3 linked regions of the Drosophila melanogaster genome follow. The gene in region 1 interacts genetically with each later gene. Each region holds a gene or a part of one and is shown in the gene's direction. Other genes may lie near its edges.

The links. Genes that interact genetically often act in the same process or in processes that back each other up.
Region 2: of Lgr3 (region 1) and rpr, changing one suppresses a phenotype caused by changing the other (phenotypic suppression), as found in Drosophila melanogaster (one study listed by BioGRID).
Region 3: of Lgr3 (region 1) and Ilp8, changing one suppresses a phenotype caused by changing the other (phenotypic suppression), as found in Drosophila melanogaster (4 studies listed by BioGRID).

What each region holds. Positions count from the first base shown.
Region 1 is NT_033777.3:25,663,870-25,668,814, forward strand, and holds the start of Lgr3 (Leucine-rich repeat-containing G protein-coupled receptor 3), read left to right. Parts: upstream 1-1,939; 5' UTR 1,940-2,120; intron 2,121-2,943; 5' UTR 2,944-3,285; coding exon 3,286-3,373; intron 3,374-4,945. Other genes in the region: RASSF8 (Ras association domain family member 8), read left to right, coding at 1-1, 69-379, 441-786.
Region 2 is NT_037436.4:18,397,018-18,400,363, reverse strand, and holds rpr (reaper), read left to right. Parts: upstream 1-1,928; 5' UTR 1,929-2,128; coding exon 2,129-2,326; 3' UTR 2,327-2,829; downstream 2,830-3,346. UniProt on the Drosophila melanogaster protein: Activator of apoptosis, as well as grim and hid, that acts on the effector Dredd.
Region 3 is NT_037436.4:17,029,295-17,034,031, reverse strand, and holds Ilp8 (Insulin-like peptide 8), read left to right. Parts: upstream 1-1,951; 5' UTR 1,952-2,134; coding exon 2,135-2,146; intron 2,147-3,124; coding exon 3,125-3,323; intron 3,324-3,747; coding exon 3,748-3,989; 3' UTR 3,990-4,220; downstream 4,221-4,737. Other genes in the region: CG7730 (uncharacterized protein), read right to left, coding at 4,441-4,737.

The sequences.
Region 1 (4,945 bases):
GGTACAAATATTCAAGTTTCTAAATTGATTTGGAATGTTATTATTTTATTTTTGTTTTATCTGCTTAGTTCGATACGGAAATAGTTTATTTGGAGAGCAAAGAACGCGACCACGCCCACGAGTTGGATGCTATTTCGCGTGAGATTTCCAAGGCGGATCAAATCTTTCGGCAAGGAAGCGAACAGCTCCAGACTCTGCAGTATGTGGAAGAGGAAAACGAATTGGTCAAGCAGCAAGAGAAGACTTTGAAATCAGAAATAGCTCTACTGCGATCCAAGCTGGCCAATTGCGAAACAGAGCTGCTACAATGCAAGAACAAAATGCGCTTGCTGATGGATGACATTGAGCTGGAGCAGCAACATCAACAGCAGACCAATAGGTGAGTGCATAGCAATTTACTTGCTTTGTTTTAAGTTTTTCACACTTCTTGGTTGTTTCAGGCAAACTGTGGAGCGAGACTTCTTGATGGAAATGGAGCGCATTCAGAGTGAAATCGACCAGGCTCTGCACAACACTGACACTTCAAACAAAACTGCAGATAGTTTAAAGAAGGAACTACTCATGATCGAGCATGCCATCGCGGACAAGAAGCGGCAGGTGGAGCAGCTGGTCAACGAGATGAAGGAGGTGAATTTGCAGAGCCTGACTGTGACCACCACGGAGGAGATCAAGCATCTATTGGAAGGACCCAACAAGCAGGGCAGCAGCCGGCGGATCATCGGTTCGCCCAGGCAACTTGAAACGGCGGTTCCAACCAGTAAAAATCCTCATGGTGTGTGGGTTTAAGTCACACATACCCAGAACTATTTTTCTAAACGTATTTCTCCTCCAACAAAATAATGTTTTTGGGAACAAATTGATCAACATATCTTGAATGCATAATGGAGTTGAAACGAAATGGATTCCTTATGAATATCACAATTTTAAACAATATTCTAAAAATATTTACAATAATTAACGTGCTTGATTGTTGTTTTAGTATGTTTACATTCCAATCACACTCTATGGATCTCTCAATGCAATGATATATGTTACAAATTTGAAATCACAATCGTTTTATTACTCTACATTCCGCACTGTACTTTGTATTTAATAGTAGTTAATGAGTCCCATATTCACATGCCCTAATCTTAATTTTGTGTGCTATACTTTTGGTTAATTTTTGCTGCTAGTCTACGTGTTAACAAAAACCCTTTCCAATCTCTACAATTCGCCATTAGTTGTTAACTTGACAATGAATTTTAATTGTTGCAATAATTCGAGAGTATCGTAATTTAAAAACGCCTTTCTAACGAATAAGTAGTGCCCTTAGTGATTTGTCTCCTACAGAATTATTCATTGTAGAATTCACAATTCGAATTACACAAAACTTATTGTACTTAGCAATTAGCGCAGCTTTAAAAAAACAAATTAGCAATGCTTTGTTGAAAAGTTTAACTTTTAAAGTGCTTAGCCTTAGCCACCGGATATCGAAACAAAAGACCGAAGCATTAACAATTGCAAAGGTATCAAGCATTAGTACATACATAATTGCTAGCGTACAATTAAAAGACAACCCACAAGTCGCTTTGATGTATTATGTTTTTAATTAGCAATATTTAATATTTACACAAACTGATGATGATAGTGAACTACAAAACACCAACGGAAATGCAATTTATCGAATATTATATATTACTATTACATTTAAACTAAAAACGATTTAGAACAAATTGTAATTGCATTACATCTAATTAGCTAATAAATACATTTTTATGATTTTCTCGAAACGAACTGTCTGTATTTACATTTGGTTTTGGTCTTTTGAAACACCACGAATTTTCCGCAAATGAAATCAACGGTCAGCCCGAAGTCCTGTGCCACACGAAGCTAGCTGCTCGGCCGCTTTTCTTGTGCGGAGGGAAAAACAAAATCAGCAACACATGCTGCCACCAGCTTCAGTTGGCCGCTGTGCTCGAACGCGTTTGGTCCTTTTGTCCTTGTCGATATCCTTCGCTCGCGACTCAGACTTCCTGGCGAAGCGCGCGCTACTTTCAATTTTCAAAAAGTGTCGCCCAGTGAACGGGTCAGTGAAAGTGGCCCGTAGGAAATAAAGAGGCAAAGGAGCATACATTTGAATGGTCCGTTTTTGGGGGCATCCTATCGCATTGACACAATCGACAAAGTGGTCGAGGGAGAGCGTTAAAGTGGCCCGCCAGCAAAAAGGACGAAGGAGCGCTCCGTTTTTATGGCCCTCTTCCACACCAAATGATGTTCAATTGCGATGATTGCGATAATGAGAGTCCCAGTTTCTCTGTTTTGGGGATCATGCATCGCCGAGACAATGTGACCTTTTGCGGAAATTATGATTTGTCTCCGGCTGACCTTGAGCCCCCCCGCTGGGCGATGTAACCCCCCCCCCCCCTTGCCGCCGACTCAATTAAGCTAAATTTAATCAGCCGGACAAGAAATGCTTCGGAAAAGGACCCTCTAATGCCGGTCACATATTGCACTTCCATTTCGTAGTACATTTGGCAAACCTATAACCTTGAGTTTGGCTTAATGTCTTGCATAAATTGGGGAACCAAGTGGCTGCTTAAAAATAGAACCATTCCGACTGGAGCCAACTAAAATTATTCATTTCGATTTGCTAGACTCAGCGGGGCGAACAAGTATAGCCAATCTTTATGACTTCCTTTTAACTTATATCTTGGTTTTTTCTTGCATCACAAATTTTAGTTATTATAGCAGCTTTCAGACGCGTGAAATAATACTTTTAATAAATTTATATCCCCAATAACTTTAAGCCGTCTGTGAAACTTAAGCCCGACGTCTGTCAAAATGGCGCTTTATGCATATATTTTTTATGGACACCAAATCAATTTTATCCAGCGCTGAAATCGAAACCCCACCAAGTGGAAAGCACTTGCCATCCGAAATATTAATTTTGAACTCCCGCTCCAGCTCCCAATCCTCCTTCCGCTTCATCAGCTGTGTAATCCTGGCACTTAAAACTCTTCTCCGCGAGCTGTGAACATTAGCCAAATGAAGTGACAAGAAATTAACGCAAAAATAAAACAAGAAGACGGAGCGGTATAAGAAATAATAATATAAAAACTCAATGAGTCAGCACCGCATCAGCTCCTGCTGCTGTTGTTCTTCTTATTGCTGTTGTTTGTGGGGGCGTGGCCGGAGTGGGAATTGAGTGCTCCTAATGATGAACTCGGTCAAGGAGCCAGTGCAGCCATGGTGGCCAAGTAATTAGATAAGCGAGCGTGCAAAACAGGAGCAAACCGATAAATCGCCATGGTCTACGGCAGGAGCATCGCCGTAGGCTTCTGTCTGATGACCGTCGTCCTTCTGCTGGCCGCCGTGATATTCTACTTGAGTTTGGGTGAGTCCTTAGAGTGATGTCCTTTCAAAATTCCATCATTCGCAAACCTAAATAATTTCTGAATCAAGAATGTTCAAAATCTTAGCAATTATTATACGCATAATTTGTGAAACTACTTAAAGTTCTTTTAAAACTTGAGCTGCTGTAAATTTCTATATATACTTTCGTATCCTTAAAGGGTTCCTTCGCTTGAAGCAAAAACCAAAATCAAATTCCAAACTGCAAAATGGCCATAAATTTTATACTCAAAAGTATTTGAAAGTAATTTGTTGTATAATACGATAAAAATAAGGCAACAAGAAACAAAAAACGGGGCGCAAAAAACAACAAACGGCTGACCATAAAAAAATAAATACGAGTACGGCGCAAACTTTGTCTTGAGCGCAAAACAATTTTCGCACATCCATCGATGGATCCATGGAAGTATGGGTATAAATATATATTTCTGGGCCTTTGGTCCTGAATGTTTTGCTTCCTCGTTCGAGGCTTTTATCTTGTTTTACGAGTATCAATATCGAGAAATTCGCACAGCTATATTTTTTATGCCAATTTGCGTATTGATTTGCCATGCCACATCTATGGAATATGGGCGAAACATGTTTGATTTATGCCCTTTTGTCGCCTCGGATTCCGAGTACATGCATCACGACAAATTATTTATCTGCCAGATACAATTTGTCCTGGCTTAGGTTTAAATCAGCCACGGAGCAGGAAGTTTAAAGAGGAAAGAGCCAGGATTTGTGTGTGAACATGTGGCCTTGTCATGGACACAATGAAATTGAAAGTCTCGCCTAATGCACAATGCTTTTGTGTGTGAATCAGTGCTTCCTAATGAAGTTACACATACAAATATGTATGTATGTATGTGAAAAAGGATATGAGGAAATAAATTTGTGCAGCTTGATGTGAATCATATGGCTATTATCTTGAACGAAATGCATTTTGGCTTAAAGCTTAACGAATGAAAGATTAATTTCAATTCACTTTAAATGCAGATATCAAATCGAATGCACTATAGCTTATGTCTAATTAAAAGCATTCACATTGAAATATCTTTATTTACACAGTGCCATGGCAATCGTGCAAAAGGGTAAAGTTATTATGAGATAAATGAGCCAGCAACCCAAAGAACATGTTTCTGACGCAATCCGTGCAATCGGATTAAAAGCTCCTCAAGGTGCTCCACTTCCAGTTTTATTTGCTCATTTGTCTAACGAACTATGTTCCATAATCTAGTAATTTGAATTGCTCAATTTTCGGAAGGACTCTCAACGCATGGTACCCAAACAAATCGTAAAAATGATAAAATGCAAAACAAGAATGTCATTTCGTTTTACGACAATTACCCAAAAAAAAAAGTTGTAGGCATTCAGGCAGAAAAAGTCTCGGTATAAATTAAGGCCAAGAGTAAGAAAATTCAATTGTTAAAACTTAGCTCAACTTTTGAAGTGAAATTAGCTGCAATAGCACATTAATTTATTTAAGCCAATCATTTCGATGTCCATGTACTTGATTTAAACGCTCGAAAAAGCATATTGCTAACAAAGCAAACCTCTCAAAAATCAATGTCAA
Region 2 (3,346 bases), on another chromosome or scaffold:
AACGCTGTTAGAACGTAAGCCACGCCCAACTGTCCCGGATTTATATATGTTGTATGTGTGTGTTGACGCGAACCCGGAAAGAAAAGACTCATGAAAAAATAACTATAGAGTCGAATGGTTCTGCTGTGCGACTAGGACGGCAGTGTGAAAGAAAGAGAACGAGCACGCCCGGCCGAGGAAAGTAGAGTAGTTCCTTCAACAATAGACCTAGACATCAGAGCTGTGGAGAGGTGGTCGCTATAGACGATGACGCAGAACATCCCCCAAAGTGATGGCTATTCTCTATCACAGTGGAAACACTTGAGACGCACGTCGTAAGATTCGGCTGTTTGCCTGTGTGTGGGTACGGTATTACGGTACTACGGCTTTGTGGGTGGAGTTTGAATGGAACTTAAAACTCATCGCGGTTCTTTGGGTGGGGTAAAAGATTTTAGAATTATGCAGGTGGAGTTTCAAGAGCTAATTTTCTATTACATATATATATGAAATTTATTTAAACATCATAACGAAATTAAGAACAAAACAATAGTATGTTTATGGGTAATCCGACTTAGATACGATGAAAAATGATGAAATATGTATTTACGTCATTAAAGAGAAAGTTTCAGTTGAGATTTAAAATGTAAACGACCTATATATAATAATGCAGAATATATATTATTAAAGATAATTTCAATAAGCTTCCTATATGTTGGAAGAATACATTGTTCGGATATCATATCCATCAGGAAGGCAATTAATAATACTTTAAGCCGCAGGGAAATTTTCGTGTATGATTTCCAACGAAAACATTCATATCGTATCATATCATATCCGTCTGGTTCCGCTCTAATGAAAATGAATAAAATTGCACACGAAATATAATGGGACGAGCCCATTGTTGTCAATATACTGTATATGGCCTTTAATTTATGACATTGTCATAATTCTTAGTCGGAAGCTTCGGATGATTGTGTAAACACTTGTAGAGCGCGAGATACTGATAAAGAGGGATCTATCTAGATATGGCAGGTGGGCTGGTCCATGGAAAAGAGAGAAAATAATTCAAGAAATGGAACGGAACTCTTCCTTGCCCACTTGCCCATATTTCAAGTGAATCCGCCTCCCACTTGTTATAATACCCTTACAAGAAGCTATTCTGCTTAATTATGTAAATAGTTTGTACTTTAAATGTTGTACTATTAATAGCATCAATGTGTCCAACCTAAAAAATATTGGTTTTATTTTTCCATCATTTTTAGTTGGAATTTTCTTATTAATTACAATTCAAGAATTTAATCATATTATAGAAAATATACTGGCGGTAATAGCTAAAAGGACTTTTTGCTGATTGACATAGATGAAAATAAATATTTTTAATATTTAAGAAATGAAATTCGAAGGATTAATATGAAACCGGCTAGATGGTTGTACTTGGCTGTTATCAGGTATCCGGCTTAGTTTAGTTGCTAATCACTAATGGGTAGCTAGTGTAAATAATGTTAATCTTAGAGGGTATTCCAAACTTTAGTCGTGAAGCAACTCTTGTATGTCTTTCTCTGTCGAACTCCTTGATGAGAAACGATTGTCATGCCCCGACGATTTAATACAATTAATATGCTAACTGTACTTCTCGCCGCACACAGTTACAACAAAGGCGCTGCCACCAACCTGGCAACAACAACACAACCTCATACAAAAACACGCTTGGCAACAGGCGCAAGGTGGCCCCGCCCCCGCTCACGATGAAAAGTAGTACTTTTTTGGGAGCTGCGAATGAGACGATGTCAACAGAAATACCAAAACAAAAAAACCCCAGCCAGAGAGCCGAAGAGCGAAGAAGGCCAAAATGAGCAGCCACCACCAGAAAAACAGAGAACAAGGCGGCGTGAGAGAACCAGGTATAAATAGCCTCGGAGCACTACTCAATATATTCAGTTGAAAAGCAACCATCGCAGCGAACGCATCTCGAAAAAATCATTGAATAAGAGAGACACCAGAACAAAGTGAACGAACTCGAAAATACGAAAGAAAAGTGTGTGCGCCAGCAACAAAGAACTAACTCGATAAATATTCATTGTGCAGAAGAGAAAGTTATTGAGTCACTACCAGTTGTGTAATTCCGAACGAGAAGAAAGATAAACCAACAATGGCAGTGGCATTCTACATACCCGATCAGGCGACTCTGTTGCGGGAGGCGGAGCAGAAGGAGCAGCAGATCCTTCGCTTGCGGGAGTCACAGTGGAGATTCCTGGCCACCGTCGTCCTGGAAACCCTGCGCCAGTACACTTCATGTCATCCGAAGACCGGAAGAAAGTCCGGCAAATATCGCAAGCCATCGCAATGAGGATTCGAGTAACTAACAAATACGGGGAAAACCAATAGTCCAGTCCAAAATCCAGAGTACAAAGGAAATAAGCATGAGCCAACCCAAAACCCAAACACAGTCACCACTCATCAGCCGACGGCACTCGATTTCTACTGCAGTCAAGGACACAGAGCCACAACACCCACCCAATTTTAGTTTACTCATCAAAGCGATTGTGATAATGGTTTTGTTTCTACAAAAAAGCGGAGGAAAAATTTGAAAAAATAACGTTTTTATAAAGTCCCCAATTTTTTACAAAAATGTTTCAATGATATAAATCAACTTTTTTAGAAATAATTTACTCTTAAAGCCTATTTAAATGAATTACTACTGTAATAGTTTGTAAGTTCTTTTGTAAGACGAGTTTTTCTAAGTTTTTTTTAAGAAGAAACCCCAGAAAAAAACGAAGATGAGTCGAAGTTGGCTAAAAATTGCATCAATTTTTTGTCAAACAAAAAGTCAATAAAACAAAAACAAAAACTAAAAAAATTGTTGGTTTTTCATTTACTTAAATATTTTCAGATTACCATTTATAAGATTTAGATACAAAAAGCGAAGAAAGCCTAAGATGATGTCTCGAAAAACTGAGTTTGGAACAAGCACATTTTTTATTTCATTTCGCCGACGGTAAAAGGAACTTTCTAGAAGGCTGTTTAATAATCAGTGAAATTATCGGTGGTTGTGAAAATTATTTTACATGTGTTTGGTTAGGAAACGTTAAAGATTTTTTTTTGTTTTGAAAAAGTTTTTCATTTGATTTCCGGCGTTCGGTGACAGAGTCCGCTTTGAAATATATCTTAATAAAATATTAAGATTGATATTGCCGGAAATAATAATAATAATAATAATTATAATAATAATAATAATTTAGTTATAATAATATTAATGCAAGCTAATTTCTTGAATTATTGTAGAACGAATATAATTATAAATCGGTATTACATATAATAGAATCTTAACCACATTATTTTTAGTTTTGATATAAACTATTTGTTGTAG
Region 3 (4,737 bases), on another chromosome or scaffold:
CGGCCAGCGCACACATTCCGAACCCAAGTCGGTGTTCCCAGAACGTGCCCGTTACCGTTATGCGTTGCCGATCGGATCGACGAGCGCGAGAATGCACATTCCGAAGGATACGTGCGAAATGCGGGAGAAAATGCAACTGCGCAGCAGCATTGCGCATACGCCACGAGGGCCGGCTAACATTTCCGCATGCGGGAATGCAACGAAAGCGAAAAGCAAGTGGCAAAAAAAAAGAAAACAGCATAACCAAAACGAATGTGGAAACGAAACCGAAACCAAATCCGAACCGAATCGGAATCGGAATCAGAAACGTAACAATCTGAACCCATAAAAAGTCGGCCGAAAGTGTGCATTGACCGAGAGAGCGGCTAAAAATATCCGAAAAAGAACGTAACACAAACGATCTGATAAAATAAGAACGCACGATGATGACGCCCGATCCAGAACAACCGTTAAGTGCTCCACCCCAAATGATGCTGCAACAGGGTGAGCGAAAGAGAGGGCGAGCCCGATACCGAAAGAGACAGAGGCAGAGCCGAACAGAAACGACAGTGAAAGTTCTACACTTTCGCTTTTTCACAGAACCCTGCTATCATACGAAAAGCAGCAATCGTAGAGATAGAAACCTTTGGAAATACAATACATAGTACATCAGCAAATGTGCGGTAACTTTATATATTATTTCTATATAAATCTGAATGTTTAACAACAATTTCGCTGGCCTTCCATTTTTTATTCACAACATAATACAATTTTTTTTTTTTAATGAATTCATTTTTTTAGACTTTGAACGAAATGCCCCCTATATGAACATTAAACTTTACTGTTTATTGGTTTCTGCAACCAGTTTTTTAAGAATGTTATGTTATCATTTAATTTCAGGTTGAATAAAACACCATGAGGTCCATTGGAATATTATTCAATGCAAAAATTTCTTAAGCTTTCAAATGTCTTAGCTTTCCATTGCTCAACGAACCTGTCATTCTAGACTCTTTACTTATAGTAAACAGTAGTACTTTGCCACTGAAAAAGATGGTAAAGGCATTTGGATCATTTTTTAGCATGCTAAATGATGAGTGAGTCTGGTACAAAGTATGATTTAACAAATGATTACCGCATTAAAGCTAATCACTGTTGTTTTTCTCGACTTTCAATGGGAAACGCCAGTCAACAATTTCAATTTTACAGTTCTTCAAATTCTACACACAATATTTGAATGGTTTTATGGGTCTGTTCAACTTGTTTATGGATCCACATAAATAAGCAATCATATTAGAGAAGCATGCACGGCTATCAAGAAGTGCGTTGCCCTGGTTGGAAAAGCCCCGGCAACAAGGTCCAAGTTTTCACTTTCACTGCCACCATCGGCCGTCAAATCACCAGTAGCTATTACTACCTTATTACATTGCCAAGGTGCGCTGATAAGAGTGTTTTTAGACTGTTCCAGCTAACAGTATTCGCCTCGGCTTTATCAAGAGCAGCAGCAAGTCCAGCAGCATGTGACTGTGACTCAGTGAGTCCGCCGAGTCCATTTATGTTGAAATTCGTTTAAGATCGAAACGGCGGCGCCATGAAACTATAAATGCCAACTCTTCTGGTCTGACGTCCGTTCCGAGGCCCATTGATAAAAAAAAATGTATATTTCTGAATGCTCGGCGCGCCCTGCCGCTTACGCAAAACTCCTGCGAGCGGATCCCGATCCCCAAAAAGCCGAGACCGAACCCCATAACCCATACCCCATACTCCATACCCGAAACCGAAACCGAAGAATTACAAATCCCGAAATCTGCTCTCTCTCTCTCTCTCTCTCTCACCCCCATCGCCCATTCCCATTGAAAAGTGAAGAGCGGCTGTCTGAGCGGCAAACTGAGCCGATCCGAAGCGCCGATCCTCGATTTTTGAGGCGCGTATAAAAGCTTGGCTACGTCGGCAACGAAAGCTCATTGTGCGCTCGCCGCTCGTGATTATCAGGTAACGTCGATCGGACGGACGGGTTAACCATTCAGCAAGTTAGCTCTGCAGCAAGTTTGCCCGCCAAAAGAAAACACGTATACGTAGTGTTGCAGCCAGAAAGGTGATCGACGTGCCTACTGATCTATTGATCTATTGAGAATTGTGATCCTAGAACGCCACTAAAATGAGTTCAAAGGTGAGTTCGAGTTGAAGTTAAACTCTTATTTTTGTTTTTTAACTATTACACTAGCATAACTAATTCGTGTAGCTCTTTAGCATTATAGTTGGTTAGTTGCTCAGCACCAAAGCATTAAACATCAAACATTCAGTTCTCAGAATGATTTCATACACCAAATTATGCATTCCTTGAAATCATTGTACTGAACTTAAACATTTCCAGTACAAGGTGGACTTTTCCAAATTGAGTCCAGAAATTTTCCAAACAAATAACTGTCTTCTAAGAACACTCCACTTTAATTACTTAAATTAGCTTCGCGCCACAAAAAAAGTGGGTGTGTGCAATTAACAGGCTGTCAGCTAAAAATATCAATATCCAATATAAACAAATGCGCTTTTGTTCTCCGCGGGCAAGAGCATAATGCCCGCATCGATTCCGAATCGGATTCATATGGCGGACTGGAGTGCTAAACAGACTGGAGTGTCACCGCAAGGTGCGATATACGAAATGCGAAATGCAAAATGCGGAAATGCCTACCTGCGGGGCGCATTACATAATTTCCACTTCAGCTCCAGATCGCCGTAATGTCGGGGAAGTTTCGGTCATTAAAAGCGGCAATTAAAATTCACCATTTGGCCGCGTCGACTTGCAAATGCGCTCCAGTTTATGTTTCGATCTTGATGCGATATTGACCCAGTTAATGGGCGGCATACTCCGGTGCGTGGGAGTCGGCGACGTCATCCAGACATCCCGGCATCCCGACACCCGGCTGTCGTCATCCGAAGTGGTTAATCCAGATGTGTCCAGAGCGGCGATCCAGATTCACATTGAAATGCCAAAGCAGGGCAGAGTGCAGCCGGTTAGAGGATCGTTGTAACACTTATGCGATAAATTCTGAACGTCAGCGATTTATAATTAGGAGCCGGAGGCCGGTTGGGTGTTTAATTTGGAATATACTCATACTCACTTGTTGTTTCGCCCGCTCCTCCATTGCAGTTGCATATGTGCCGCTGGATGCTGCTGGTCATCGGAGTCTGTTGCCTGATGGGCAGCTCGTCGGGCAGCTTCTGCTCCCTGGAGCGGATGAAGAAGTTCGCGATGGAGGCGTGCGAGCACCTCTTTCAGGCGGACGAGGGTGCCCGCCGCGACAGAAGGTCCATCGAGTTCGCGCACCACCATCTGAATCGACTTGGATGTAAGTATCTAGATCTAGATCTTAGATTTTAGAGCATAGTGTGGCACTAGGAAAAAAAATGTTTAAAAATATTTCGGATAAATTTAAAGATCAAATTATTATAATGCTTCGTTATGACTTTACCATTTTTAAATTTTGTTTCCAACTATAATACTTACGTTTTAAAATCTCAATTAAACAATATCCACTGAACATCGATAAGGAAAAGATTAAAATATTGGATTAGCGAGCTAATAAGGTCAGAGTGTCAGTCAACCCGACAATTGCATTCGGAACTGCATATCGAAAACACGTTTTTTTTTAAGTGTGTAGATTGCAATTAATACGGCATTTGCATAAAGCAGTTCCGATGCAAAAGTTAACCGACTTCAAGGCGCAGGTTCAAGATCAATTTGCTCACTGGCAACGTTTTCCCCCTTTTCAGCCGGCAAAACGCACAACAAGCATCACTACATCAGCCGAAGCAGCTATCCAATGGGTGGCTACCTGAAGGTGACCCGGGAGCACTTCAATCGCCTCAGCGAACTGGACATCTTTCCGCGCTACAAGCCCATCAAGCCGCACCACGAAAAGAAGCATCGCTTCAAGAGGGATCACTCGAGCAGGTCCTACAACAACATTCCCTACTGCTGTCTAAACCAGTGCGAGGAGGAGTTCTTCTGCTAAGAGAGCTCCAGTGTCATGCTCCATGCCCCACGCTCCAAGTCGGTGCCATCTGGTCAGAATCTTCTGAATCCGTCCATAGTTATAGTTAGGCTATTCATGTACATTCTACAAGTCGCGCTCACTCTTATAGAGTACCTTATTTGTGCCCACTCCCAGGGACACAGATCCATTTACAGTATTTATACACTTAGATCGATTTTGAATAAACAATCGAATACGGCAACTGATCGGAATTAAAGTGTTTTTTATAAAAATTGGTGGACAGTTAAAACTAAACAAACATTCAGAGAATTTAACAGCATATTAGGTTTAGAAGACGCATATAAAGGCTTAAAAGATTATTACAATCCTAGTACAAATGAGTCACGATGGCTAACAAATCTTTGTTGTATCACAATCTATTAATCACTAAATCACTTAATAAACCGACAGCTCGAACCATGGAATCAGCTTATATGGAACTAATATAGTAGGCGCCTTTGCAAACGTTGCATTTGTACTTGCGGCAGTTTTGTTCGCCAACTGGCTCCAGTGATCGAAAGTACTTGGATACCACCATCAAAATATCCTCACGTTGTCTCTGAAGGAAATCTTCGCCGAAGTCATCAAAGGTTTTAACGCAATGCATTAGAATGCGATAGAGGACCGCTTCAGTTGATACGAACGTATTCAGCGAGCGATCAATGTAATCCACGTTCTCCTCTACGAATGTGCGGGTCATCTGCATTAGAAGCTGTACAGCCTGATC